Saccharomyces cerevisiae S288C: one gene and its partners. The protein of the gene in region 3 purifies or fractionates together with the protein of the main gene of each other region. This does not show direct contact. Each region holds a gene or a part of one and is shown on either strand. Other genes may lie near its edges. The genes, in order: KRE33, UTP22, NOC4 and ENP2.

What was found.
Region 1: the proteins of NOC4 (region 3) and KRE33 purify together in Saccharomyces cerevisiae (affinity purification with mass spectrometry; 9 studies listed by BioGRID, with this or other methods). This does not show direct contact.
Region 2: the proteins of NOC4 (region 3) and UTP22 purify together in Saccharomyces cerevisiae (affinity purification with mass spectrometry; 8 studies listed by BioGRID, with this or other methods). This does not show direct contact.
Region 4: the proteins of NOC4 (region 3) and ENP2 purify together in Saccharomyces cerevisiae (affinity purification with mass spectrometry; 6 studies listed by BioGRID, with this or other methods). This does not show direct contact.

What each region holds. Positions count from the first base shown.
Region 1 is NC_001146.8:372,228-378,991, forward strand, and holds KRE33 (ribosome biosynthesis protein KRE33), read left to right. Parts: upstream 1-3,093; coding exon 3,094-6,264; downstream 6,265-6,764. Other genes in the region: YNL134C (uncharacterized protein), read right to left, coding at 224-1,354; FYV6 (Fyv6p), read right to left, coding at 1,944-2,465; TOM22 (Tom22p), read left to right, coding at 6,540-6,764. UniProt on the Saccharomyces cerevisiae protein: RNA cytidine acetyltransferase with specificity toward both 18S rRNA and tRNAs. Catalyzes the formation of N(4)-acetylcytidine (ac4C) at positions 1280 and 1773 in 18S rRNA.
Region 2 is NC_001139.9:659,092-668,111, forward strand, and holds UTP22 (rRNA-processing protein UTP22), read left to right. Parts: upstream 1-3,266; coding exon 3,267-6,980; downstream 6,981-9,020. Other genes in the region: NNF2 (Nnf2p), read left to right, coding at 1-679; U4/U6-U5 snRNP complex subunit PRP31, read left to right, coding at 7,250-8,734. UniProt on the Saccharomyces cerevisiae protein: Involved in nucleolar processing of pre-18S ribosomal RNA and ribosome assembly.
Region 3 is NC_001148.4:817,970-824,873, reverse strand, and holds NOC4 (ribosome biosynthesis protein NOC4), read left to right. Parts: upstream 1-3,450; coding exon 3,451-5,109; downstream 5,110-6,904. Other genes in the region: YPR145C-A (uncharacterized protein), read left to right, coding at 1-184; ASN1 (asparagine synthase (glutamine-hydrolyzing) 1), read right to left, coding at 536-2,254; rRNA-processing protein RRP15, read right to left, coding at 5,799-6,551. UniProt on the Saccharomyces cerevisiae protein: Involved in nucleolar processing of pre-18S ribosomal RNA and ribosome assembly. Has a role in the nuclear export of 40S pre-ribosomal subunit to the cytoplasm.
Region 4 is NC_001139.9:778,391-786,114, forward strand, and holds ENP2 (ribosome biosynthesis protein ENP2), read left to right. Parts: upstream 1-3,376; coding exon 3,377-5,500; downstream 5,501-7,724. Other genes in the region: THI4 (thiamine thiazole synthase), read left to right, coding at 2,009-2,989; ECL1 (Ecl1p), read right to left, coding at 5,833-6,468; YGR146C-A (uncharacterized protein), read right to left, coding at 6,886-7,047; NAT2 (Nat2p), read right to left, coding at 7,664-7,724. UniProt on the Saccharomyces cerevisiae protein: May be involved in rRNA-processing and ribosome biosynthesis.

The DNA of each region.
Region 1 (6,764 bases), on a different chromosome or scaffold from region 3:
ATTACTTGTTTTGATTGATTTTTTGCTTATACTCGAGTTTAGGTGAAAGGCCTTACTTTAAGCTTTCACGAGTTTATCCACCAAATTCTTTCAACGACGTCTCTCTTCCGGCAATTTTTTTTGCCCGAAAAAGACTAAGGCGGGTGAGGGGAATTGAACGGCACTATAATGTGGAGGTAAACAGAATGATCAAGCGCTATATACATAAGTAGCTATAGATTATTTATTTCAAGACGGCAACCAACTTTTCGCCAGAATTCCTCCCGTGCTTAATATCATCAAGTAACTGTGGGATATCATCTAACCCGTTCTTGTAAACTTTCACTGGGATGTGGTGGATTTCACCATCATTGATTTTTGGATTGATGAACTTAATAAATTTTATGGCGGCTTCCTTGTATTCAGGGTCTGCTGGCAAAGTAAACGTGCCAAATGGGACGTCGTTACCTCCTATCAAATATAGAAGGGTTCCTTCAATACTGACGTTTTGCCTCCTGTCTTCCTCCTTGATATCTTTTTCGGTTAAAACGGTCAATTGAACGACCGTAGCGTCTAAGTCATCAGCGGCACATTTGTACACCTGTTGAATAGTTTCTGTGTTGGAGACACAGTCCACCAAGTAAGGAATGTTGTTGTACTTCTTTTTTATCTGTTCGATAACGTCAGCATCGTGGTAGTCAAAAAGTTCATCTGCACCGTACTCTTTCAACAATTTTTCATGTTTACGAGAAGCAACGACGATGATCTTGCTGAAACCGTTTAGTTTTTTTGCCAATTGAATAAGCATCTGGCCAACAGCAGTGGCACCACCCCAAAATAAGATGGGTTGATCTCTTTGCGCTTTGGAGGGCTTCCATGTCATGTCCAAGCCAAAACTATGTGTAAGGATCATACCAGCCGTGGTCAATGAGACTGGGAGGGATACTGCCCCTTCTAAAGATTTTACGGGGCCTTCTGGTAGCTTGTCTTTACCGCACAATCTAAACTCTCTGGCTGGTTTATAAGCAGTCTCGGATGAAATGGCAGAGTACTCAGCAAAGGCACCGTTTGAGGGGAACCTCACTGAAGCACCGTGAATAACCCCATAAATGTAATCACCAATGGCAAAGCGTGCAGCATCAACATTTGGGCCCAACTTTACGATTTGGCCGGCTGCATCACAGCCTAAGAGGGCACCTTGAGGACCAATCTTGAAATCAATATGTTTCCAATCGGTAGGGTTACCGGCAACGGCGACAGTCTTAATTAGAACAAATCCTTCTTCTAATTCAGGAATTGGAATGTCCTGTTTGACTACAGCCTTGCCATTTTCAATGACAACGGCTTTCATGGTTTCTGGAATCGAGGCGGACATGCTTGATATGCAGTATGATATTGCTTTTTGCTGTGTATAGTTAACGATTTTTTTTCAACTAGAATTACAGTACTAATCAAGAAGTGAGAGGAAGAAAACGGCAAAAAAAAAACTCTCTCCTTTTAAATCGAAGCATTGCCGAAATACCTTAAAAACGGTCTTAAATCCTTAACATCTGTCCTTACTAATCGATGCCAATCCAACGGAGGGAGCCCATATGCTAGGTACTAAGAGTACGCAGGGGCGGAACCGCGCGACAACCGTAAGCGGATCCGAGGAACTTTAGTCAGCAGGGGCTGTGATGACCATTAAAAAATTGCGGACACAGGTAGTGGAACGAGCAATCAATGTGATCAATTTGCCATTTCATTCCACGAAATGGTTTCCATTCTAAGCATGAATGCTTTGACGTTACGGGTGTTGGTTATTTCGGTTCTTTTTATTGCTTCCGTGGGCACGTACGAGAAGGGAAGATGAATAGAAAAAGAGTTTCCGAGTTTTGTATGTCCAATGTTTACATAATTTATATAACTTGAAGTTTAATCTTGGCATAAAGCTCTAGTTGTGACGAAGTGTGTAGGCCATCACATCAGTTCTCCAGTTTTCTACCCAATTTTTTTATGGATACCTTGATTTTTGGTTTAGGGCTGGATGTCTTTACGCCCTTTATTTGTGTTTTACTGCCCAAACTAGTGCCGGTCTCTAAATATTTTTCTGTATTAGTAGTAGAATCGTTCTCCATTAGTAATGCTTTTTTTTTCTTTTCAAAATTGATTGCCTTGACGTCTAAGTAGTTATTCAGTTCTTTTTCCTTTTTTAGCAACTCATTCTTGCTCTTCTGGTAAAATTCCAGGTCCTCTTTACTCAACCTAGTAAAACTTTCACGGTCTCTCACCAAACCGTTATATTGTTTTTGTTTACTAATAGCATTAGACCTAAGCTGATCTCGCAGGGACTTCCTGGTTTTCCTTTTATATTCCGCTTCATATTTTTTTTGCTCCACTTGCTCTCGTATCCTCTGGGCCTCTACATTACCAACTCCTTCTGACACGAATTTCAGTGGTTTTTTCTCTCTTGCACTATTAGCATTATTATCACTGGTAGATGACATGATGATATAACAGAGCCCACAGTCTTTTGTTGGAACCGCTTTCTCTAGGCTTCGATGGACTTACATCTAATTGCACATTCTCGTGCGTTTAAACGTCATTTTTCCCTCAGATTGGCAGTGCATCAAAAGTAATTCCTAGGGACGACAAAAAGGCGGAAAAGGTTTCAGAAAAATAAGCGGACTTAGCTCAGTTGGGAGAGCGCCAGACTGAAGAAAAACTTCGGTCAAGTCATCTGGAGGTCCTGTGTTCGATCCACAGAGTTCGCAATTTGAAAAATTTTTTTTAATGATTACGCATGTGGATGTGTTCAGTATCAACCGATGCTCGCTTTTCCAATCAAATGATACAAGCCAGACCGAACATTGCATGTTTTCCATTGTAACTTCCCAGGTATATCTGAATTAGTTGTAAAAAGTAATAGTTTACCCGGAATCGTGTGAAAAATTTTGAAAAAAAAAAATGAAGAGCCAAGATACAATGAGATGAGATGAGGTGCTGAAGATGCATGGAGATTCTGTATTTATCTCAAATAAAGTACGCAATAGAGTATATAAGCCAAGTCACCTTTTATATTTCTTAGTTTTTAACTTGCAAAGACTTATAAGAGACTTATAAAACAAGGAGAAAATGGCCAAAAAAGCTATCGATTCAAGAATCCCGTCACTGATCAGGAATGGTGTTCAAACCAAACAAAGGTCCATATTTGTCATCGTTGGGGACAGGGCACGTAACCAGCTCCCAAATTTACATTATTTGATGATGAGTGCTGACCTTAAGATGAACAAGTCCGTCTTATGGGCTTATAAGAAGAAGCTTCTAGGATTCACTTCGCACAGAAAAAAAAGAGAGAATAAAATTAAGAAAGAAATTAAAAGAGGTACAAGGGAAGTGAATGAAATGGACCCTTTTGAATCTTTTATCTCTAACCAAAATATCAGATATGTATACTACAAAGAGAGTGAGAAAATATTGGGTAATACCTATGGTATGTGTATTCTTCAGGACTTCGAGGCATTAACCCCAAATCTTTTAGCAAGAACCATTGAAACTGTAGAAGGTGGTGGTATTGTGGTTATTTTATTGAAATCAATGTCATCGTTAAAGCAACTGTACACCATGACTATGGATGTTCACGCCCGTTATCGTACTGAGGCTCATGGTGACGTTGTTGCAAGATTTAACGAAAGATTCATACTTTCTTTAGGTTCAAATCCAAACTGTTTAGTCGTTGATGATGAATTAAATGTTCTACCGCTATCTGGTGCCAAAAACGTGAAACCACTACCTCCTAAGGAAGATGACGAATTGCCTCCAAAGCAATTAGAGTTGCAAGAATTAAAAGAATCCTTAGAAGATGTCCAACCAGCTGGTTCATTGGTTTCTCTATCCAAAACTGTCAATCAAGCCCACGCTATTCTTTCTTTCATTGATGCCATTTCGGAAAAAACTTTGAATTTCACAGTTGCACTAACAGCTGGAAGAGGTAGAGGTAAGTCTGCTGCTTTAGGTATTTCTATTGCCGCGGCCGTTTCTCACGGGTATTCTAATATTTTTGTTACTTCTCCATCTCCCGAAAATTTAAAGACTCTATTTGAGTTTATTTTCAAAGGATTCGATGCCTTAGGTTACCAAGAACACATTGATTATGATATCATTCAATCTACGAACCCCGACTTCAACAAAGCCATTGTGAGAGTTGATATTAAAAGAGATCACAGACAAACGATTCAATATATTGTTCCTCAAGACCATCAAGTTCTGGGCCAAGCTGAATTAGTTGTCATTGATGAAGCTGCAGCTATTCCTTTGCCAATCGTCAAGAACTTGCTGGGCCCATATCTAGTCTTCATGGCATCCACTATCAATGGTTACGAAGGTACGGGTAGATCTTTATCTCTGAAGTTAATTCAGCAATTGCGTAATCAAAACAACACATCCGGTCGGGAAAGTACTCAAACCGCCGTTGTTTCGAGAGATAATAAGGAAAAAGACTCTCACTTACATTCTCAATCCCGTCAATTACGTGAAATTTCCTTGGACGAACCAATCAGATATGCTCCTGGTGACCCAATTGAAAAATGGTTAAACAAGCTCTTATGTTTAGATGTTACTTTAATTAAAAACCCAAGATTTGCAACAAGAGGAACTCCTCACCCATCCCAATGTAATCTATTTGTTGTCAATAGAGATACTCTATTTTCTTATCATCCTGTCTCAGAAAATTTCCTGGAAAAAATGATGGCACTGTACGTTTCATCCCATTACAAGAATTCTCCAAACGACTTACAACTGATGAGTGACGCCCCAGCGCACAAACTATTTGTTCTTTTACCACCAATTGATCCAAAGGATGGCGGCAGGATCCCTGACCCTCTATGTGTCATTCAAATTGCATTGGAAGGTGAAATCAGTAAGGAGAGTGTCAGAAATTCATTATCGAGAGGCCAAAGAGCTGGTGGTGATTTAATCCCATGGCTGATCTCTCAACAATTCCAAGACGAGGAATTCGCTAGTTTGAGTGGTGCTCGTATCGTCAGAATTGCCACTAATCCTGAATACGCATCCATGGGCTATGGTTCTCGTGCAATTGAATTACTGAGAGACTATTTCGAGGGTAAATTCACTGACATGTCTGAAGATGTTCGTCCTAAGGATTATTCTATAAAGAGGGTGAGCGATAAGGAACTGGCCAAAACTAATTTATTAAAGGATGACGTTAAATTAAGAGACGCAAAAACGTTGCCACCTCTACTATTAAAACTTTCTGAACAGCCTCCTCATTATCTACATTATTTGGGTGTTTCATATGGTTTAACGCAATCGTTGCATAAATTCTGGAAGAATAACAGCTTTGTTCCTGTTTATTTACGTCAAACCGCAAACGATTTAACTGGTGAACATACTTGTGTTATGTTGAACGTTTTGGAAGGCAGAGAATCAAACTGGCTCGTTGAATTTGCCAAAGATTTCCGTAAAAGATTTCTGTCGCTTCTTTCTTATGATTTTCATAAGTTTACTGCCGTTCAAGCCTTAAGTGTCATTGAAAGTAGTAAGAAAGCACAAGATTTGTCTGATGACGAAAAGCATGATAATAAAGAATTGACGCGGACGCATCTGGATGACATTTTTTCTCCATTTGACTTGAAAAGATTGGATAGCTACTCAAATAATTTGCTAGATTATCACGTTATCGGTGATATGATACCCATGCTTGCTCTTTTGTACTTCGGCGATAAAATGGGAGATTCAGTAAAACTATCAAGCGTCCAGAGTGCTATCCTGTTGGCTATAGGGTTACAGCGTAAAAACATCGACACTATTGCCAAGGAATTGAATTTACCTTCCAATCAAACTATTGCTATGTTTGCGAAGATCATGAGAAAAATGTCTCAGTACTTCCGTCAGCTGTTAAGCCAATCAATTGAAGAAACTCTACCAAATATCAAAGATGATGCTATTGCTGAAATGGATGGTGAAGAAATCAAAAATTACAACGCTGCAGAAGCACTGGACCAAATGGAAGAAGATTTAGAAGAAGCCGGTTCTGAAGCCGTTCAGGCGATGAGGGAAAAACAAAAAGAGCTAATCAACTCCTTGAACTTAGATAAATACGCCATAAATGATAACAGTGAGGAATGGGCTGAATCTCAAAAATCTTTAGAAATAGCTGCCAAGGCCAAAGGCGTCGTCAGTTTAAAAACTGGTAAAAAGAGAACGACTGAAAAGGCTGAAGATATCTATAGACAAGAGATGAAAGCTATGAAAAAACCAAGAAAGTCTAAAAAGGCTGCAAATTAAGCGTTCTACTCTTTGTCAAACCCTTTTATAGCTAAACGTTTACTTAATTTGTACAATAATATAGAATAGAAACATAGTTGATGTTTGAACCTTTACATATTCCTTTCAATCGTGTCGAGCGATATAAGTATTACGATTATGCCGGCGAAAACTGAACCCGTTTTAGACAATTTCAATCAACATACTCCACTCCGTAGTGAGTAACTTTTGGAGTAATACGAAGTAACCAAAGAGGTCAAAACGGAACTATATACCCCAAAATAAGCATCATTCAAATGGTCGAATTAACTGAAATTAAAGACGATGTCGTTCAATTAGACGAACCACAATTTTCCAGAAATCAGGCCATCGTGGAAGAAAAGGCTTCTGCAACAAACAACGACGTTGTCGATGATGAAGATGACTCTGATAGTGATTTTGAAGATGAATTTGATGAAAATGAAACATTGTTGGACAGAATCGTTGCTTTAAAAGACATTGTCCCCCCAGGTAAGAGACAA
Region 2 (9,020 bases), on a different chromosome or scaffold from region 3:
ATTCTTATCTCCGTTGCTAACTCTGAAGCATTCCGTGCTAACTACAAACGCAAATTTGTCCGATGAAAGGACAAAATTGAAAAAGACAAAAAAGGAATTCAGCAAGAAGTTAAGTCTTTTGAGACAAGAAATTGATTATTTTAAAGGCAGGATTTCACAGAACGCAACACATGACGAAAAGAGCACTTTAAAAGTCGAAAATTTGAAGGTTGCCCTACAGCAAAGTGAGACTGCGGTAAATAAGTTAGAGATGCAATTGAAAACTCTCACTGAAAAAGAGCTTGAATTAGAAGAGGAATACTTGAAAAAGAAAGATCTACACTTGAAAAATCAATTAGAGTTCAGTAAGTTAGAAGAAAGCTTATCGAAAGACCTGAAAAACTCAGAAGGGAGGTTCCAAAAGGTCAATCAAGAATTAGTTCAACTAGGCTCTAAACTGGACAAATTGAACGCGAGAAACGAGAAGTTACAAAAGGAGGTCGATCAGAACGCAGAAGAGATAGAAAAGTTCAGTACTCAATTTTTGAGTAAAAGAGAAAAGGATAGATTTAGAAGAAAGGAGTACAGGATACGCGAAGCCAATAAATTTGAATTGACTATAAAGGGGTTAGAGCAAGATATCAACAGATTAGAAAATGAGAATGAAAATATACATAGTCTAATTGGTAATAGTTACTGATGGAAGATTAGAAAACAAAGATAGATAAGAATTCGTTTTGTAGCATCCTAAAATTTACTTCTATTGAATATATACATGTATTTATTACTTGGACGTTCTACTTTAAATGTAGTCAGTCGTTTTTTTCTCGATATTGTTTTTTTATTGTTTCCTAATAACTTCATTTGTTACTTTTTTGCCTTTTGTTATTTATGGAAATAATGCAGGTTAACATAAGTAAACATAAAATATGAGAAAAACTAAGAATGTTTGCTGATGTATTGAACAGTTCACATCGTTGTGTCTACTATTAACACTAAGTTGTTGATCAAAACATTCCCTAATTAATAGCTGCCCCAGGACTTGGAAGGCCACACTACTCTCCATGACATCAAAGATACGGCCCAAATAATCTGTATCCTCGATATGAACTTAGGACCACATATTTGGAGCTTGTCCAAAATACTAAAATGGCAGATAACAATTAGATGGTTCCAATTCAAATACATTACAAGCTACGAAAACTAATATTCTATAATTTATACTAAGTTCATGGAAAGAATTGCAATGGATTGAGGTTTCTAACGAGGTTATCACTACCGCAAATATAGAGAGTAAGTTGGTAATATACAACAATAGAATTTAATCAATAACCAATCTCAACATTATTGTATCGTATTTTAACTTATAATTGTGCTCATATCAAGTTTTCTAGGTTACAATTACGACCAATTCTCAGGTTGTTTTGCAAAATTGGCGAAGAGATGGAGGCCTACCACATATTATCACGATTTGATAGGGATAATCTGAGTAACGATTAGTTATTGACGAATCCCTTTAATATAGTTTCCACACGAGAATAGGCGCCTACTAAAGAATTGATGAATCTGCTGGTAATTTCTAGGTTTCCATTATTCGGTAAAATATACGGAATGTATTAGGGGTTCTTCATGACGATCAAAGATCCATGAATGGAGATCGGTATTTTTAAGTAATAGTGCTACTATTTTTTTCCTTTTTGCATTCTGTCGTTCAATATCCTGTTACATTATTAATCTTAGTTTCGGATTCCACTGAAATCAATAACTATATCCCATGGCTTGGGCCTTAATTCTTGTGTCATATACAATAATATGCTAGTGCCGTGAACACTAGCCAATGAAGAAATGATCGTTTTCCAACACATACCGGACGTGGCTCTGATAGTGCTCGACGATGGAAATTTCAGCATGCATACTGATGTATGTCAAGATAACAACTACAGTCCTATCGTCGTGATTATAGGGAATCGACCGCGCCACTGCTATGACAACGGAAAGTTTATCCATGGCCTGCTGATTTTGATGCTGCTGTGGACACGAGAATACCAACACCTGTTCACATCTTCATGTGGATGAACGTAACGAAGTGGATATTTAGGCTCGGTAGCGAATCTTTTGCCGTACCTCCAAATTTATCTTGTATCGATTTTTCCGTCTAGTTGAAACTGTTATTATCCGCCCCTCCAATTTTCTGTAAAGCATAGGTGCTTCTTCAAAGTATCCAATGTATTTCTTAAGCTTATCAAGAAATAACATACTTCGAATACGTCCCAAGTTTTCTGATAACTTTATCATATTCTTTTGGCTAATTGGCGATCGTTTATATACCCCAGTGATTTTGGTTATAAATTTATAATATAGTTCAAACTATCCTTCCTTTAGAACAACTGTAAGCTTTAATTTTGAGCAAGCGCTACCATTTGATATATAGCAAACTAACCAAAATGCTAAGACATCTTCTAGTCTAAAAGTAACTCTTTTTCTGTGTATCTAATTCACATTGTGAATTTGAAAAGTACCCTTATTTGTATATATGTTGGTTTTGATGGTAGGTGACCTCACTTTTCTTTAGAAAATTTGCAATTATAGTTTTAGACAATCCCTTTATGTTTCATGTGCGTATTCATTATTTTTAACAAATTCCTAGTTCTCAAATCTGAGTCTCTTGGTAAAAATTTGCCTCCTTAGCTTAGTGGTAGAGCGTTGCACTTGTAATGCAAAGGTCGTTAGTTCAATTCTGACAGGTGGCATAATTTTATATATCTCTTTTTTTGCTTGTTGTACGGAAGTTCTGTCCATCCGGTGGGCGACCGGTATAGAATTATCGCGCCATCCATGAAGGTTGGCCCAGGGCCGAGTAAAGATTTAGGCAGGACCGGTGGTGGCCACTGCCTGGGAACGTCGGCCTACGGCTCGCTGCATGCCGTTGAAAAATTTCAATTGTAATTTGGAAAATTTAACCAAATGATAATTTCAATATGTACCACTAGCACTTTACGTCAAGAATCTCAAGCAAACCAAAGGGTTTTAATCTTATACTTTTCCATTCTATTTTTTAATAGAATTTAAATCGGCAGCTCTTATACTTGGAAACAGGACGTTTTCATTTTGCTTTTTTGAAGGCCAGATATTTGCTTTCACTTTAAGAACCAACTCCAAGAAATCTTCAAAGTTTCCTTTGTTAGATTTATCCTCTGATTGAATTATTGAAACCACAGGTATAATCACTTTGGGGTAGAACATTATAGTTTTCATAGAAATTTTACAAAGGATCTCCTTCATATACCATGGCTACAAGTGTTAAAAGAAAAGCATCTGAGACTTCTGACCAGAATATTGTTAAAGTGCAAAAGAAACATTCCACACAGGACAGCACAACTGACAACGGATCCAAAGAAAATGATCACAGTAGTCAAGCCATCAACGAGCGTACCGTGCCCGAGCAAGAAAACGACGAAAGCGATACTTCACCTGAAAGTAACGAGGTCGCTACTAACACTGCTGCGACTCGCCACAATGGAAAGGTTACTGCAACAGAGTCCTATGATATTCACATAGCTAGAGAAACGGCTGAATTATTCAAGTCTAATATTTTCAAGTTACAAATTGACGAATTACTGGAGCAAGTGAAGTTAAAACAAAAACATGTTCTGAAAGTCGAAAAATTTCTACACAAGTTATATGATATTCTCCAGGAAATTCCTGATTGGGAGGAAAAGTCATTAGCTGAAGTGGACTCCTTCTTCAAAAACAAGATTGTTTCTGTTCCATTTGTTGACCCCAAACCTATTCCTCAAAATACTAATTATAAATTCAATTACAAGAAACCAGACATCTCCTTAATTGGCTCCTTTGCTCTTAAAGCTGGAATTTATCAACCTAACGGCTCTTCCATTGATACTTTACTAACAATGCCAAAGGAGTTGTTCGAAAAAAAAGATTTCTTAAATTTCAGGTGCTTACACAAGAGGAGCGTTTATTTAGCATACCTAACCCACCACCTATTGATATTATTGAAAAAAGATAAATTAGACTCATTTTTGCAACTCGAGTATTCTTATTTTGATAATGATCCGCTTTTACCAATTTTAAGAATTAGTTGTTCCAAACCAACGGGTGATTCTCTTTCTGATTATAACTTTTACAAGACCAGATTCTCTATCAACTTGCTTATTGGTTTCCCATACAAAGTCTTTGAACCAAAAAAACTGTTACCCAATAGAAACTGTATTAGAATAGCACAAGAAAGCAAAGAGCAATCTTTACCAGCCACTCCTCTTTACAATTTTTCAGTGTTATCTTCTTCAACACATGAAAACTACCTGAAGTATTTATACAAGACGAAGAAACAAACAGAATCTTTTGTTGAAGCTACTGTTTTAGGTAGATTATGGCTGCAGCAACGTGGGTTTTCATCCAATATGTCGCATTCTGGTTCATTGGGTGGATTCGGTACTTTTGAATTTACTATCTTGATGGCAGCGTTATTAAACGGTGGTGGTATAAATAGTAACAAGATATTACTTCACGGGTTTTCATCATACCAATTGTTTAAAGGTGTAATAAAATACTTAGCCACTATGGATTTGTGCCACGACGGCCATTTACAATTTCATTCTAATCCAGAGAATTCCTCCAGTTCACCAGCTTCTAAATATATTGATGAGGGTTTCCAAACTCCAACCTTATTTGATAAGTCAACCAAGGTCAATATTCTTACAAAAATGACTGTTTCTTCTTATCAAATTTTGAAAGAATATGCCGGTGAAACATTGAGAATGCTAAACAACGTTGTTCAAGACCAATTCTCAAATATTTTTTTGACTAATATTAGCCGTTTTGACAATTTGAAGTACGATCTGTGTTACGATGTACAGTTACCTTTGGGTAAGTACAATAATTTAGAAACTTCTTTAGCTGCTACATTTGGGTCAATGGAAAGAGTAAAATTTATTACTCTGGAGAATTTCCTCGCCCACAAGATTACAAATGTTGCAAGGTATGCATTGGGCGATAGAATCAAATATATCCAAATTGAAATGGTTGGTCAAAAGTCCGATTTTCCAATCACCAAAAGAAAAGTGTACTCTAACACAGGAGGTAACCATTTCAACTTTGATTTTGTAAGAGTAAAATTGATTGTTAACCCCTCTGAATGTGACAAATTAGTCACCAAGGGCCCTGCTCATTCTGAAACTATGTCTACAGAAGCAGCCGTTTTTAAGAATTTTTGGGGAATTAAATCTTCCTTAAGAAGATTCAAGGATGGCTCCATCACCCATTGTTGTGTTTGGTCTACATCCTCATCAGAGCCCATCATTTCCTCAATTGTTAACTTTGCATTGCAGAAACATGTTTCAAAAAAGGCACAAATATCAAATGAGACTATCAAGAAGTTTCATAATTTCCTACCGTTGCCAAACTTACCCTCAAGTGCTAAAACATCAGTTTTGAACTTGAGCAGCTTTTTCAACTTAAAGAAATCCTTTGACGATTTATACAAAATAATTTTCCAAATGAAGTTACCGCTTTCTGTAAAATCAATCTTACCGGTTGGCTCTGCATTTAGATACACTTCCTTATGCCAACCAGTACCATTCGCATACTCTGATCCAGATTTCTTTCAAGACGTCATTTTGGAATTTGAAACCTCACCTAAATGGCCAGATGAAATTACTTCCTTAGAAAAGGCTAAAACAGCTTTTCTTCTCAAAATTCAAGAAGAATTAAGCGCTAACTCTTCAACTTATAGGTCGTTTTTCAGCAGAGATGAATCCATCCCATACAATTTAGAAATTGTAACCTTGAACATCTTGACACCTGAAGGTTATGGATTCAAATTCAGAGTTCTAACTGAACGTGACGAAATCCTTTATTTAAGAGCTATAGCGAATGCTAGGAATGAGTTGAAACCAGAATTGGAGGCCACATTCCTAAAATTTACTGCAAAATATCTGGCTTCCGTAAGACATACTCGTACTTTGGAGAATATATCTCATTCGTATCAATTCTACTCCCCTGTGGTAAGACTATTCAAAAGATGGTTGGACACTCATTTATTACTAGGTCATATAACGGACGAATTAGCAGAGTTGATTGCCATTAAACCTTTTGTTGATCCTGCACCATATTTCATTCCAGGTTCTCTTGAAAACGGTTTCCTCAAAGTGCTTAAGTTTATAAGTCAATGGAACTGGAAAGATGATCCATTGATTTTAGATCTAGTAAAACCAGAAGATGATATAAGAGATACATTTGAAACAAGTATTGGAGCTGGCTCAGAGCTAGACTCCAAAACGATGAAAAAGCTTTCTGAAAGATTAACCCTAGCACAATATAAGGGCATTCAAATGAACTTCACGAACTTGAGGAACAGTGATCCCAACGGTACACATTTGCAATTTTTTGTTGCCTCTAAGAACGATCCAAGCGGTATTCTTTATTCATCAGGTATCCCACTACCCATTGCTACAAGGCTTACAGCATTAGCTAAAGTAGCCGTGAATCTTTTACAGACACACGGTTTAAACCAGCAAACTATCAATCTTTTATTCACGCCTGGATTAAAAGATTACGATTTTGTCGTTGATTTGAGGACACCAATAGGTTTGAAATCATCCTGTGGTATACTTTCAGCCACAGAGTTCAAGAATATAACTAACGATCAAGCCCCATCGAACTTTCCAGAGAATTTGAATGATTTAAGTGAAAAAATGGATCCAACATACCAGTTAGTGAAGTATTTGAACTTGAAGTACAAGAATAGTTTGATTTTATCAAGCCGCAAGTATATAGGTGTGAATGGTGGAGAGAAAGGAGATAAAAATGTCATCACAGGGCTAATAAAGCCACTCTTCAAGGGAGCCCACAAATTTAGAGTAAACTTGGATTGCAACGTTAAACCAGTGGATGATGAGAATGTGATTTTAAATAAAGAAGCCATATTTCATGAGATTGCTGCATTCGGGAATGACATGGTTATAAATTTTGAGACAGATTAGAATAAACAACAAAATCATAACTTTTAGAAGTATCTGTATAATATTAAATAATTAAAGCAGCCGGCAGTTTACATAAAGAATATTTTTCTTTAATTCTTTTTTTTAGATGTGGTCCTTTCGGCGATTTGGCACAAGTTAACTTAGTATTTTTAAAAGTTTTGAATAGTACTGCTGTGGCGACGCTCAGAATAAAGCTAGGTAAACGATTTGAACGCCTCAACTAGCACTATTTGATAGCATTTTGGCTGCAGAAAATATACAAAGACCTTATGAGCTCTGAAGAGGACTATTTCGATGAGCTCGAATATGACCTTGCCGATGAAGTTAATGAGGAAAAAGAAGACATACAAACTAAAAAGCTCACTACGGTAAATTGTCAAACAGAAAAATTCAATCCATTCGAAATTCTTCCGGAAAGTATAGAATTATTCAGGACGTTGGCACTCATCAGTCCTGATAGGTTATCTCTATCAGAGACAGCACAGATTTTACCAAAAATTGTCGATTTAAAAAGAATCCTTCAACAACAAGAAATAGATTTCATTAAACTGTTACCGTTTTTTAACGAAATCATCCCCCTCATCAAGAGCAATATAAAATTAATGCACAATTTTCTAATCTCACTGTACAGTAGACGTTTTCCAGAACTATCTTCATTGATACCATCACCATTACAATACTCAAAAGTGATAAGCATACTGGAAAATGAAAATTATTCAAAAAACGAAAGTGATGAACTATTTTTCCACTTGGAAAATAAAGCAAAATTGACCAGAGAGCAGATCCTCGTTTTAACAATGTCCATGAAGACGTCTTTCAAAAACAAAGAGCCATTGGACATCAAAACGAGGACGCAAATTTTAGAAGCAAATAGCATATTGGAAAATTTATGGAAACTACAAGAAGATATAGGTCAATACATAGCCTCAAAGATATCAATAATTGCCCCTAACGTGTGTTTCTTGGTAGGCCCGGAGATAGCAGCCCAATTAATAGCACATGCTGGAGGGGTTTTGGAGTTCAGTCGCATTCCCAGTTGCAACATTGCGTCCATTGGGAAGAATAAGCACCTCTCACATGAGTTACATACATTAGAGAGTGGAGTACGACAAGAAGGATATCTATTTGCTTCTGACATGATTCAGAAATTTCCCGTTTCTGTCCATAAACAAATGCTTAGGATGCTTTGTGCAAAAGTATCACTAGCCGCAAGAGTTGATGCTGGCCAGAAAAACGGTGATAGAAATACAGTTTTAGCTCATAAATGGAAAGCCGAACTATCGAAGAAAGCTAGAAAGCTATCAGAAGCCCCGAGCATTTCTGAAACGAAGGCTCTACCTATTCCGGAGGACCAACCCAAAAAGAAAAGAGCTGGGAGAAAATTTAGGAAGTACAAGGAAAAATTCAGACTATCGCATGTCAGACAATTACAAAATAGGATGGAATTTGGCAAGCAAGAACAAACTGTTCTTGATTCCTATGGTGAAGAAGTTGGTTTGGGTATGTCTAATACTTCTTTACAACAAGCAGTAGGAGCTACATCAGGTTCCAGAAGATCTGCTGGTAATCAAGCCAAGCTAACAAAGGTAATGAAGCACAGGATTTCTGAGGCTAATCAGCAAGCTGACGAATTCCTAATCTCCTTGGGTCATAATACAGAGCAACCGAATCTGTCGCCAGAGATGGTTCAAATGCACAAGAAACAGCATACTAACCCAGAAGAAGAGACCAATTGGTTTTCCGGTCATGGTTAGGGCTCTTCTACATACTTGATAATATTTAAAAAGATATTATATAGTAGTGACCGGCGAGAGCGTTTTCGCTCATAAATTTCGTAAAAAGCCAAACACCACACGCTGCAACCCAGATGCCCTTTTTAGGAAATGTAATTATTCAAAAAGTAAACAATGACATGTTTCATTCCTCAATCTAAATCATTCGAAGCTACCTTGATGTTGAAGCCCTCCGCTTGTTGTTTATTTAAAAATAAATACAAGGAGGCAATTCGTCCAAGTAAATTATTGTAAGATAGAAACCTTG
Region 3 (6,904 bases):
ATATCCGCAAAACTATCGAGCGGAAATTAAATCAAGAAATAAGAATACAGTAATAACAAGGCACGATCTACTAATTGCACACGAAATGAAACAAAGGGCGTCGCTAGAGAGGAGCAATTCGATTAGGAATCTTCAGTCACAAGGTAAAAGGAGATCAGATTCAAAAGAATCTCGAAAATTGTAAGAAACGACATAAAAGAAGGGTGAAAAGGAGGGCATGCACTGTCTCCATCATTTTTAAGATTATTGGGTCTCAAGGAAGGAGGATGTATAATAGGAAATATCAAAGTCAAGAATAATGTTTCAAAATGATTTGCATCAAGATCGTTCGATACGCATATATACAGTCATCCACACACTTAATTTTTTAGCACTGGCGATAAAAAATGATTTATGAATAAAACTTCATCAAACTATTATGAAAAATATGTATTTCTATATTCTATTTATTATTATTATTATTGTTAGTGTTTGTTTTTCTATAAAAATATCTATAAGATTAATCCATAATTCTTTTTCTATTTTTTAATGTTATTTATTCGATATGTTTTTCATGAATTTGGGCATATCTACCAGAAGGATCTTCAGCACAACCCCAGTCGGCCTTTGGAATCCATCTCATAACGGTGTCAGCCACGGTCTTTTGAGGGAACAAAGCATCGAATTTTAGTCTGTACCAGAAAGCCTCTTTTGTGGTTGGAATGTCACTACCCCATTCGGCCTTTGGACTGGCAAACATTTCATCTGAAATGACTGCTTCGGCGGTATCTTTTAATCCGTCGATCCAGGAGTAACCAACACCGTCGGAAAATTGTTCTTTTTGTCTCCATAAAATTTCTTCTGGTAAATATGGCTTAGCATCTGGTTCTCCTGTGGTGTCGAATGCCTTCCTTAGAATGTACTTTTCAATACGTCCTTCCTTTGGTTTAATCATCTTTTCATTTGGATCGATGTTCATACACAATTGCAAAAATTCTCTGTCTAAGAATGGAACACGAGCTTCTAGACCCCAAGCCATCGTAGACTTGTTAGCTCTCAAACAATCTGCCAAATGCAAGTTCTTGACACGTTGCACGGATTCAGTGTGAAATTCTGCCGCAGAAGGAGCTTGTGCGAAATATAGATAACCACCGAAGATTTCATCGGAACCTTCACCGGAAAGAACCATCTTGACCCCTTGGGCCTTAATCTTTCTGGATAGTAAGAACATTGGAGTGGAAGCTCTGATAGTGGTAACGTCGTAAGTTTCCAAATGGTAGATCACGTCGTCCAAAGCATCCAAACCTTCTTGTAATGTAAAGGTGTGTTCATGATGAATAGAGCCGATGAATTTGGCAACCTTTCTTGCGGCTTGCAAATCTGGAGCATTTGGTAAACCGATGGCAAAGGAATGGAGACTTGTCCAACCAGCAGTGTGTAGCTTACCGTCATCGTCGATACCTGCTAGATGTCTTGCCTTACTATCGTAAGTTGATGGTTCGACATCGTTAGTGGCCTTTGCAGTTTCACGGGCAGCAATGGAAGCGATTAAAGAGGAGTCCAAACCACCCGACAATAGAACACCGTATGGGACTTCGGCCATTAATCTCTTTCTAACGGCTTTTTCTAAGGAGTGTCTAATTGCCATGTAATCTATTGGGGTGGAAGGAATGCGTTTTTCGTCCAGCCAATCTGGTGTGAAGTAACGGGTGATCTTGTCAGTCTTAGAATCGTATACGTGGCCCGGTGGGAATGCAGTGATAGTGTCACAGTCGTCAGTCAAACATTTTAGTTCGGATGCAAAATAAACGGTCTTTGGAGAAGCGGAAGAGCGTCCCATATATAATGTCGTAATACCGATTGGGTCTCTGGCTGCCACAATACGATCTTGTTTAGCGTCGTAAAGAGTCCAAGCAAACATACCATCCAAGTACTTAGGAGCGTCGATATCGTGCTTTAAGTACATTGGGATGATAGGCTCACAGTCACTCAGTGTTCCAAACTCGTAGTCTGCGCATTCTTCTCTTAATTGAATGTGGTTGTAGATTTCACCGTTAACACATAGCATGTACTCTCCGTCTGAAGAAGTAATTGGTTGAGCACCGGATTCCACACCGACAATGGCTAGTCTTTCATGAACAAATATAGTGGAGTTCTTGATAGCATTACCGGACCAATCTGGACCACGGTGTCTGATTCTTTTTGATAGTTGTAGAGCCTTTGGCTTATATCTATGCACGTCTTCGTGCCTGAAAGCGGCGAAAATACCACACATCTTAAGTTACGTCCGATTTATATCCTTAGCGTAAAGCAAGTTATACTTTTTCTTATTTTATTATGTAAAGGTAAGAAGAGTATGCGATCAGGGTCCAAACAGAATCTGTCTCCTAGTGGCGTTCACTATAGGGTTATATATGCGTATCTATAAATGCGCATAAATTCAAGAACGAACTATTTGTCATCTCGAGTGGGCAGCAAATTTTCAGTTTACAGAATGAGTCAAATGTTACATGAGTTAAGGCTCTTTTCCTTGTGCTCTCTCTCTCTGTCTGAGCCTGCCAAATGATAACAGTCATAGGCCCTGTACCTAATTTGCCGTCCACGGCAGCAGTACTGCTGCCGTGTGATTGGTGGATAGATAGTGCCAGCGATAAGAAACGGTAGTTGATGCCCGAAGGTGCTTTCCAGCGCAGAAAGACAGACCCCAGGCGTATTTGCGCTCACGTTGCACGAACACGGGCGGCATTCGTGATGACAATAGATTTAATTTAGATATGCACTGGTTTCCACAGAGACCAATCGACAGTCTTCCATGCAAGGTCACTTATTGTTAACGGCAAGTTTCCCTGGATGTCCGCTTTAAAACTGTTTCGGCACGGTTTAAAGGACACAAGTTTTGACTAGTCTACAATTTAAGAACATATAAAAAGCTACTTGTGTACAGATGAGATGACTACTCCCAAGTCAAAAACAACAAAAGAATGAAAGAAAAAAGAATCAGAATTTTATAAAAGCGTCCTTGTCATTCTTAAGAATGTAACAAGATCAATGGGTTGCGCAGGAACCGCTATCTCCATTAAAACCTCAGATCGCTCCGAGAAGAATTGTTCGATTTGAAACGCAAATAATATCATCGTATTCTTTTAAAAACTTGGAAGGTCATTGGTTTCTTTAAATGAAACCTCCAAAGAAAATCTAACGCGTCTTGGTAAAATATATGTACCGAGTGTTTCGCTTTTTATACCTGTTAAATGAAAATCGAAAAAAAAGAAAAAGAAAAAAGTTTTTCAGCACTTCTCTACGGGTAATCCTCGTATTTGAAGGTTTAGGGCTATTCTTGAAATTTTTCACTAAAATTTTCCAACTGAGAAAAAAAAAAGTGTATTACGGTTTTGATGAGATGAGATGAGATGTAATTATCATCCTCTATTGCCATGAAGAGAGATCTATTAAAAAGAAACGTCAAAGAATATGGTATTGCTTATATCAGAAATTAAAGATATTGCCAAGAGGCTGACTGCTGCGGGTGACAGAAAGCAGTACAACTCCATTATCAAGTTAATCAATGAACTAGTGATTCCAGAAAATGTTACTCAATTGGAAGAAGATGAGACAGAAAAAAATTTGAGATTTCTGGTTATGTCGCTATTCCAGATATTTAGAAAGCTGTTTTCCCGCGGCGACTTGACCCTTCCTTCGTCCAAAAAGAGCACATTAGAGAAGGAACAGTTTGTTAATTGGTGTAGAAAGGTGTATGAAGCGTTCAAGACGAAGCTGTTAGCTATCATTTCGGACATACCTTTCGAAACATCACTTGGGTTAGATTCGCTTGATGTCTATCTTCAACTTGCAGAGCTGGAATCAACTCATTTTGCATCTGAAAAGGGCGCACCATTTTTCCCCAATAAAACATTCAGAAAGTTAATCATCGCCCTATGGTCCTCGAACATGGGTGAAATAGAGGATGTCAAAAGCTCGGGTGCGTCTGAAAATTTAATCATAGTAGAATTCACGGAAAAATATTATACGAAATTTGCAGATATTCAATACTACTTTCAATCAGAATTTAACCAACTATTAGAGGATCCAGCCTACCAGGACTTGCTTTTGAAAAACGTTGGTAAATGGTTAGCTTTAGTAAATCATGACAAACATTGCTCTAGTGTTGATGCAGATTTAGAGATCTTTGTACCAAATCCCCCACAAGCCATAGAGAACGAGTCCAAATTCAAGTCCAATTTCGAGAAAAATTGGTTATCCCTTTTAAACGGCCAATTGTCTTTACAGCAGTATAAGTCTATTCTGTTAATTTTGCATAAGAGAATAATACCTCATTTCCACACTCCAACTAAACTAATGGATTTCCTTACTGATTCCTACAATTTGCAAAGCTCTAATAAAAACGCCGGTGTTGTTCCGATCTTGGCTCTGAATGGCCTTTTTGAATTGATGAAAAGATTCAACTTGGAATATCCAAATTTTTATATGAAACTTTATCAAATTATAAATCCAGACTTAATGCATGTTAAATACAGAGCAAGATTTTTCAGGTTAATGGACGTATTTTTGTCATCAACACATTTATCCGCCCATTTAGTAGCATCTTTCATCAAAAAGCTAGCCAGACTCACCCTAGAATCACCACCCTCTGCTATTGTCACCGTGATTCCCTTCATCTATAATTTAATCAGGAAACATCCGAATTGTATGATTATGCTGCACAACCCAGCCTTCATTTCCAACCCATTCCAGACACCTGACCAAGTGGCGAACTTGAAAACTCTGAAAGAAAACTATGTAGATCCCTTCGATGTTCATGAATCGGACCCTGAGTTAACTCATGCACTGGATTCCTCTCTGTGGGAGCTGGCGTCATTGATGGAACATTATCATCCTAATGTAGCCACGTTGGCGAAGATATTTGCTCAACCATTTAAGAAGCTAAGTTATAACATGGAAGATTTCTTAGACTGGAACTATGATTCTTTGCTCAATGCAGAATCTTCAAGAAAGTTGAAGACACTTCCTACGTTAGAATTTGAGGCTTTCACAAACGTTTTTGATAATGAAGACGGCGATAGCGAAGCGTCATCCCAAGGTAACGTCTACTTGCCTGGGGTAGCATGGTGAAAGCGAAGATGAACAACGAAGTTTTAAAAGTGTGTATATATACATTTATATCAACAGAGTCATCGATTTCCCTTGTTTGAGATGTAAAAAAAAAAAAAAATAGAAAATAGTAAGTCCCTGTTATCAATTTTGCCTAGGAAAAAAACCTGGGTCAAAAATAAATGGTCTCTAGCGGGATCGAACCGCTGATCCCCGCGTTATTAGCACGGTGCCTTAACCAACTGGGCCAAGAGACCATTCTATTGTTGAAGATTGTTTAATTTAGATAAACTTTCATAATGTTGAGAATTGCTTATTGCGATATATAAAGTTGAACCAAAGATCAATTTCTTTTTATGTATTGTAGAGAATTACAATTTGAAAAAGAGCTAAGGGAAATTGCTATATTCTAAAAGAAGTGCACAAGTACATTACCTTGAATTTTTATATTTATTCATGATATATTAATATTAATATATCGATGGTGAAGGACACCACACCTGTATTTCTTTGATTGAAAACAATTTTGTAACATTGGCTGCAAAAGTTTTTGCAATTGATATGAAACTATATGATAATATAGAATGCAAACAAAATTCAATTGCAAGGAGGAGGGAAGATATAGGGCCCCTTTCTCGCTTGACATAGACTAAATAATATACAGTTTTTATTTCTTTATTTTTTTTCTTCTTTTGACATGAACATGTTGATTATTCATTGTCGCTTCCTGCGGCAGCTTTAACTAAATCCAAAAATTTTTCTTTGGAAACTTCAGTGATCAATTCTTTCTTTTCTTCTTTATTCTTAATTTCGCTTAAATTTTCGGATACTTCCTTTTCTGTCTTGACTTGAGTTGCTAAAATGGCGTTAAATAATTTCACGGCACCTTTTTGAGCTATCTTTCTGAGCGCTGTCTCCTTCTCAAGGACTTTTCTAATATTTTCTGACCTGTCTTCTCCGGAAGCAATTGGAATAATATCCGTCTTTCTGGCTTTACCTAATAACTTTTTTTTTTCTGCCAACAATGCTTTTTTGGCCTTGTATTCTAGCTTTTCTGACTCACTTTGCTTCAGCACCTTTTTGTTTCTAGCCATGATGGGGTCCTTCCTGTCGTATGCTTTCAGATGTGATGATAAAATAGCATTTACTGCAGCAGAAAATCCAGTAGAACCATCATCATGTTTGCTGTTTTTCGATTTTTTCTTTCTTGGGAAGTCGTCGTCCTCTTCTTCTTCATCATCATCTTCTTCAGCATCACTTTGTTCGTTATCTATAATTTTAGATGATTCATCGCTAGAGCTATTCTGCTCGTCTTCTTCGGCTTCATCACCTTCCATTATTGTATCTTTTTCCGGCTCATTACTTAACTCTTGGTTGCCACTATTCCTTTTTTCACGCCCAAATTCTGCATTCTTTCTGGTTCTTTTCTTATCCTTAGTGTCTACTCTGTGCTTGGAGCCCATGATCAATTATGTACTGATTTTCCTTCGGCTTCTCTATCGCTTTATTCATAGCATCTGTTTATTACCTTTCCTTATATCTTATGGGCATCGAATCCTAGATTTTTTTCTTTCAAAATTTTCCAATAAGAGGGTAATGGAGATACACCAAAATGAATCTCAAACAAAATCAAAACAAACACTGTTTACAATTTGATGCGCCTCGAATCAAAATATGATGATGAGTATTACAGCTAAAAAAATTATCGAATATTATATAAGCATTAAAGCTATCAATTTTTCCGCTCTTTGTGTTTCTTATTATTCTATTTGAATATACCAGAACAACTATCCGGAGTCTTTGTTTAAAAAAGGTA
Region 4 (7,724 bases), on a different chromosome or scaffold from region 3:
ACTGCCGCGAAATTCAACAACTTTTTAACTCGTGAAAGAGGTTAATATTATTATTCATTTTGCTAGAAATACTACTAAACACCCCATTAGGAAGCTGGTAAATTATGAAATCAGCAAAATAAGATCCAACCGGAACGAATTTATTAGAAGCTCAAACACAAGGGTTGATAGTGTGATAAAGGAAAGGGGTGACAACGTGTAGAGGGTAAAACTTATTGATTCCTTTTTGTGGATTCCTATACCCTACAAGAACACTGTTGGATATAGACATTATATGCAATATTAATTATGCGACTGATAGGCTTCGTAATTCCTGCTTGAGTAAAGACAAGAATTTTCATTTCTCATTAACTGTTTTTATTTATAACCTAGGAAAAAAAGGAGCTGAAAATTTGTTGGAATAAAAATCCACTATCTTATATCAACTAGTATTCCTAATGTCAGTATATTGTCATATAAGGCGTTAGATGGTGACATAAGGTATGAAAAGTTGCCATCGAAGTTAGAGGAAGCTGAAATGCAAGCATTGATGTAATAGGATCAATGAATATTAACATATAAAACGATGATAATAATATTTATAGAATTGTGTAGAATTACAGATTCCCTTTTATGGATTCCTAAATCCTTGAGGAGAACTTCTAGTATATCTACATACCTAATATTATAGCCTTAATCACAATGGAATCCCAACAATTACATCAGAACCCACACTCTCTTCAATTATTATGTAGAAATTTCGATTCTATTTTGAGGATTCCTATACCCTCGAGTAGAAATTCTAGTATATCCTACATACCTAACATTATTGCTTTATCAATAATGGAATCCCAACAATTATTGTTACAGGCTACGATATTGCGTATAGAAAAAATGTTGAAAGTTCTTCTGCAAGATACAGGAATCCAAAGGGAATCAATATATCTACCTAATAGTATTATTATTTCTTTTCCATTTTATATGTTTCACTATCCTACTATTTCATCGATCCTCTTATTTAAGCTTTTATTAAACCTAATGACTGTTCTATAACTTTTATGTCCTCTTTTTACATCATAAATGATAATTAATATACTAGTGACATGAATACTAATCGATGGATGGTAGTTTGTTCTTATTCTATCAGGGAAATGCATCAGATAATGGATAAAATGGAAAGAATGGAAAGGAATTGTAACATGCCTATATATGGAAAACGAGCTTTTAGAGCTTTCAAGTTAACCCCGGGCGGTTAGTGTAGTGGTTATCATCCCACCCTTCCAAGGTGGGGACACGGGTTCGATTCTCGTACCGCTCAAGATTACTTTTTTAATTTTCATACTTTTTCTCCTAATATCTTGCAAATCATGACTGAATTGACATTAACTGATGCAAATGGGTGGGAAAAATGCTTATCAACCCCCTAAAAAGTCAACTTCTTCGTTAGTGATTGCTATATGTGGCGTCAAGAATTACAAGAAGCTGGCGAGCTTTCCAAGCCCCTTCAGGATTAACCGTTTTTTACCCTTTTTTTACAAATTTACGGCGGGGAATAATTCTGATACTTTCTCTTTATGAGCATTCCTCAACAGGGATCGGCACTCAATTGCTTTAGTGAATAGTTTTTTTTTACGCCAAGAACATTTACCACCCCATTTTCCTGTAGACGTCCAAAACGATACTCTACTTTAAGCCCTTTTTCTGAAGTTTTCATAAAATGTCCGATCTCCTAACGTCATTTTTAAAATCAAATGGTCTTTTAATAATTATGCACGTTAAAAAACATACATAATTGATAGTAAAGAATCTGGTATTCTATCAGTTACCAAGTTCAATCGTAAATTTTTTTACGAGCACTAATAGAAATGGATCATGAAATTGATTTTTTGATTTTCAATTTATGAACTACCCAGATATATAAATATTGGAATAAATTGTGTATTAAGTAGTCGGGAAATATCTTTTATGTTCTCTTTCTTATCATCTAGAAATAATAAATCACAACCAAAAAAATCAACTAACTATCAAAATGTCTGCTACCTCTACTGCTACTTCCACAAGTGCCTCTCAATTGCACTTAAACTCTACTCCAGTTACTCACTGCTTATCTGACATCGTTAAGAAAGAAGATTGGTCTGACTTTAAATTTGCTCCCATCCGCGAATCCACTGTCTCTCGTGCTATGACTTCTCGTTATTTCAAGGATCTTGACAAGTTTGCCGTTTCTGACGTGATTATTGTCGGTGCGGGCTCTTCAGGTTTATCCGCCGCTTACGTCATCGCCAAGAACAGACCAGACTTGAAGGTTTGTATTATCGAAAGTTCAGTTGCACCAGGTGGTGGTAGTTGGTTGGGTGGTCAATTATTTAGTGCCATGGTTATGAGAAAACCAGCTCATTTGTTCTTACAAGAGTTGGAAATCCCTTACGAAGACGAAGGTGACTATGTTGTCGTTAAGCATGCCGCTTTGTTCATCTCTACTGTCCTTTCAAAGGTCTTGCAATTACCAAATGTTAAACTGTTCAATGCTACCTGTGTTGAAGATTTGGTTACCAGACCACCTACCGAAAAGGGCGAAGTCACCGTTGCTGGTGTTGTCACCAACTGGACGTTAGTTACCCAAGCTCACGGTACTCAATGTTGCATGGACCCTAACGTAATTGAATTGGCAGGTTACAAAAATGACGGAACTCGTGACTTGAGTCAAAAGCATGGTGTCATTTTATCCACTACCGGTCATGATGGTCCATTTGGTGCTTTCTGCGCCAAGAGAATCGTCGACATTGATCAAAACCAAAAATTGGGCGGTATGAAGGGTCTGGACATGAACCATGCCGAACACGATGTCGTTATTCACTCTGGTGCATACGCCGGTGTTGACAACATGTACTTTGCTGGTATGGAAGTTGCTGAACTGGATGGATTAAACCGTATGGGTCCAACTTTTGGAGCTATGGCTTTGAGTGGTGTTCATGCTGCTGAGCAAATTTTGAAACACTTTGCTGCTTAGGCTTTTAATGAGGTATGCTTTTAAAGATTTATATATTTTTTATACACGCTATATACACAATTTTCGCTGATGATTTTGTTTTATTATTGATTTTTAAATTAACCGTAGAAAATACTAAGTGGAAAGATCCGATAGTGATGAGATAAGACTTTTAGTTATCTCTGTAATGGTGAGTTTTCGCACATCTTGCAATATTAAAAATATAAATCAATTCTTCAAATGTCACTTCATGGTCGGGTAACCAAATATGATCTTAAAAAAAATTAAGAAAAAAAAAAATTGAAAATTTTGAGCTAAGCTCATCTCATCTCATCGGCTGTAATCAGTAACACATCATTTATTACATCAGTTACAGGTATCAACATATATCTTCAAAAAGGGGACATTATGGTTTTGAAATCTACTTCCGCAAATGATGTTTCAGTATATCAGGTTTCTGGTACAAACGTTTCAAGATCACTTCCAGACTGGATTGCGAAAAAGCGCAAAAGGCAATTAAAGAATGATTTAGAATATCAAAATAGAGTAGAACTGATTCAAGATTTTGAATTTAGCGAAGCCTCCAATAAGATTAAAGTGAGTAGAGATGGGCAATATTGCATGGCTACCGGTACATACAAACCTCAGATCCATGTCTACGATTTTGCTAATTTGTCACTGAAGTTCGATAGACACACAGATGCTGAAAACGTGGATTTCACTATTCTCTCTGACGATTGGACTAAAAGTGTACATTTACAAAATGATAGAAGTATTCAATTCCAAAACAAAGGTGGTCTACATTACACCACAAGAATTCCTAAATTTGGGAGAAGTTTAGTTTACAATAAGGTAAACTGTGATTTATATGTTGGTGCGAGCGGTAATGAGTTATACAGGTTGAACTTGGAAAAGGGGAGATTTTTAAACCCATTCAAGTTGGATACTGAAGGCGTGAACCATGTTTCTATCAATGAAGTAAATGGGTTGTTAGCGGCAGGCACGGAAACAAATGTAGTGGAATTCTGGGATCCAAGGTCGCGTTCCCGTGTTTCAAAGCTATATTTAGAGAACAATATTGACAACAGACCATTCCAAGTCACCACAACCAGTTTCCGTAATGACGGGTTAACTTTTGCATGTGGTACGTCGAACGGTTATTCATACATTTATGACTTGCGTACTTCTGAACCTTCCATTATTAAAGACCAAGGTTATGGGTTTGACATTAAGAAAATTATTTGGTTGGATAACGTCGGCACGGAAAATAAAATTGTTACATGTGACAAGAGAATTGCAAAAATATGGGATAGACTAGATGGTAAGGCATACGCTTCTATGGAGCCTAGTGTTGATATTAACGACATTGAGCATGTACCAGGTACAGGTATGTTTTTCACCGCTAACGAAAGTATTCCCATGCATACATATTATATTCCAAGTTTAGGACCATCTCCACGCTGGTGCTCATTCTTGGATTCTATCACAGAAGAATTAGAAGAAAAACCAAGTGACACTGTTTACTCTAACTACAGGTTCATTACTAGAGACGACGTTAAAAAATTGAATTTAACGCACTTGGTGGGATCCAGAGTATTAAGAGCATACATGCATGGTTTCTTTATTAACACTGAACTTTACGATAAGGTTTCATTAATTGCTAATCCAGATGCCTACAAAGATGAAAGAGAAAGAGAAATTAGACGTAGAATTGAGAAAGAAAGAGAATCCAGAATCAGAAGTTCAGGGGCTGTTCAAAAACCTAAAATTAAAGTCAATAAAACATTGGTTGATAAACTATCTCAAAAACGTGGTGATAAAGTTGCAGGAAAGGTTCTTACGGATGACCGTTTCAAAGAAATGTTTGAGGATGAAGAATTTCAAGTCGATGAAGATGACTATGATTTCAAACAATTGAATCCAGTAAAATCCATCAAAGAAACCGAAGAAGGTGCTGCTAAACGTATTAGGGCGCTAACTGCTGCCGAAGAGTCCGACGAAGAAAGAATTGCAATGAAGGATGGCAGAGGTCACTATGACTACGAGGATGAAGAGTCTGATGAAGAAGAATCTGATGATGAAACGAACCAAAAGTCAAATAAGGAAGAATTAAGTGAAAAAGATTTGAGAAAGATGGAAAAGCAAAAGGCACTAATTGAACGCAGAAAGAAGGAAAAGGAGCAAAGCGAACGTTTTATGAACGAAATGAAAGCCGGCACTTCCACGAGTACGCAAAGAGACGAAAGTGCTCACGTTACATTTGGCGAACAAGTAGGCGAATTGCTTGAGGTGGAAAATGGAAAGAAATCAAATGAATCCATTTTACGTCGTAACCAACGCGGTGAAGCAGAACTTACTTTTATTCCTCAAAGAAAAAGCAAAAAAGACGGAAATTATAAATCCAGGCGTCATGATAATTCATCGGATGAAGAAGGTATTGACGAAAATGGTAATAAGAAGGACAATGGTAGGTCGAAGCCCAGATTCGAAAATAGAAGAAGAGCTAGCAAAAATGCGTTCCGTGGTATGTAGTTATATTAGAAATTGATATTTTAATTATCCTTTCACCTTAAACTAAAAATATTATATGTATGAAGACGAAGACAGCAAAAAGTATGCGTGATACAGTTTACATTATAGAATTCTTTCCCCAAATATTGAGGGTTTTGTTTTTTTTTTTTAATGCAGATGTACGTACATATTTTCTTTATCAAAAGGATGTGTAGAGAACTATGTATATATGTATATGTGTAGGTTTTTTTTTTTTAGGATGACTAGAAAAGGAAATCGAAAAAGAAAAAATAAGCATGAATCATGAGTAGGTTAAAGGCAAGTCGAAGAAGATACGAAGCAAGTGAAGCCGTTTAACTGGAGGATAGTCTAAACCATAGGTTGTAGTTATTCTCAATGATCTGATCTGAGATCAAATGATCATCAATTAGATCGTTTGATCGTGGCAAGTTGTTTTCGTAACCCAAATGTGCCTTTGAATGCAATTGGTAACTAGAATCGAGTCTAAGAGAGTCGGCTAAGTTCAAATAATGTTCATTTTCATCATATTCGTCAACACGAGAAGGATTAGACTCCTGCTTAGGATTGACTATACCATCCTGAGGTAGCAGCAATGGTGAAATTAATAAGGACTCTAGCTTCTCCAACTCGTCAAAGGGGATAGTTGAAGATGTCGGAGATGAAGATAGTGAGGTAGTCGGCTCGAAGAGGTTTGATGCAGTTAAATTTTTAGAATATGAAAGCGGTGGAGTGAGATTATGCGAATGAGAAGTTTTTGATTTTTTATGCAAGTGGGATAATAATTTCTCATTAAGAGGGTTCGAATCCTTCAGCTTACAATCTTCGGAGCAATATAACTTATTTGATTGTAAACTGCTCTTGGTTTCATTGTCCCTTTGGATCTTCCTGGTATTAATGTTCGTTTTCTGTGGAGATGTTGGAATGAGACGATCACAAACAGTGCAGTAATCGTTGAATGCGGTGCTCATTATATGATTGATATGCAAATCGGTAAAGAATACCTGAAAGGAGTGGAGGGATAAGAATAAAGTAATTATTCTCGAGCTTTTTTTATAAGGAAAAAAAGGAGAATCGGTAGCGGAGTATTGTTTCTCTATTCTTTCTTTGCTTACTCTGTTTTATAATTCTCACAAGTGTTCAATTTTTAACTTCTTGGGACAACACTATAGTTCTAAGTTCTTTAGACAGTTCAAAGACAGTTTACTCAATGGCGATGGCCTGTGTCAATGATTATATTGTATATATATATGTGTCCAAGTATGGATGTGAATGTATCTAAATTTTCCGAAATGCAAGAAATAAAATTCTCACAATTGGGGTGTTGAAACGGAAAAGATCGGTATTCCTTTAAATATAAGAATCACCACGTTTCAGGTCTCCAAGTTCTAGCTAAAGATCGTACAAACAAGTGCCAATTTGGGAAAAAAGGGCGGCCTAATTGTGAAAAAAAAAGATGCCCAACTGAAAGAAGGGCAATGAGCAATAGGGAATGTAAACGAATGCAATAAGAAAGCACACGTTAAATTACACTCAGGGAGGAACCCCATAATAAAAAAGTAAGAAAATTGAATGATCTGAACCCGGTGCGCAAAAGCGATGAGATGGGGCGATGAATGACGGTAATAAACACGGTAGCAAATACACCCGAGTCGTGTGCCCTACATTAAGAAAAAAAGAGATGAAAACTTCTCCTCTATTCCGCGGTAACCTATGGTCACGGCCAGATTTTTTCCAAGTATTTTTAGCTCAAAAGCTGAACCGCTTTAGCTGGCCGACTAAGCGAATCTTCTGGAACATATGTGAAAGGCGCACTAGGATTTTCGTTGAGGGATGAGCTTCCCGTTGAGAATTAATGCGACTTCAGGCGGCACAATACGATCTGTTGTTGCCGTTTGAGTGTCGTTTGGCACGTGGAGGTCCCTCCTCAGTGCTCATTGGGTGGCTCGGCCGGGGTACAGCTAGCAGGATTAACGATCCCTCTTAGAAGGATCGCGAGCAATAGCACTAGCAACCGGGCTTATGTAAAATGAGTACGGTAGAAGCTTCTATGACCTGTTCACGTGGCCAAATGTTCTGTTACTAGTACGTAAACAACGTGGTTACGTAGAAAAAAGAAAAGAAATGTAAACTCTATATACATGCTAAGCCTACGCTAATATTCTTTCACATTAGGCCATCAAACCATTTCTGGCCTTTGGTTCTTGGTTTGCGCTTTGTAATGTCG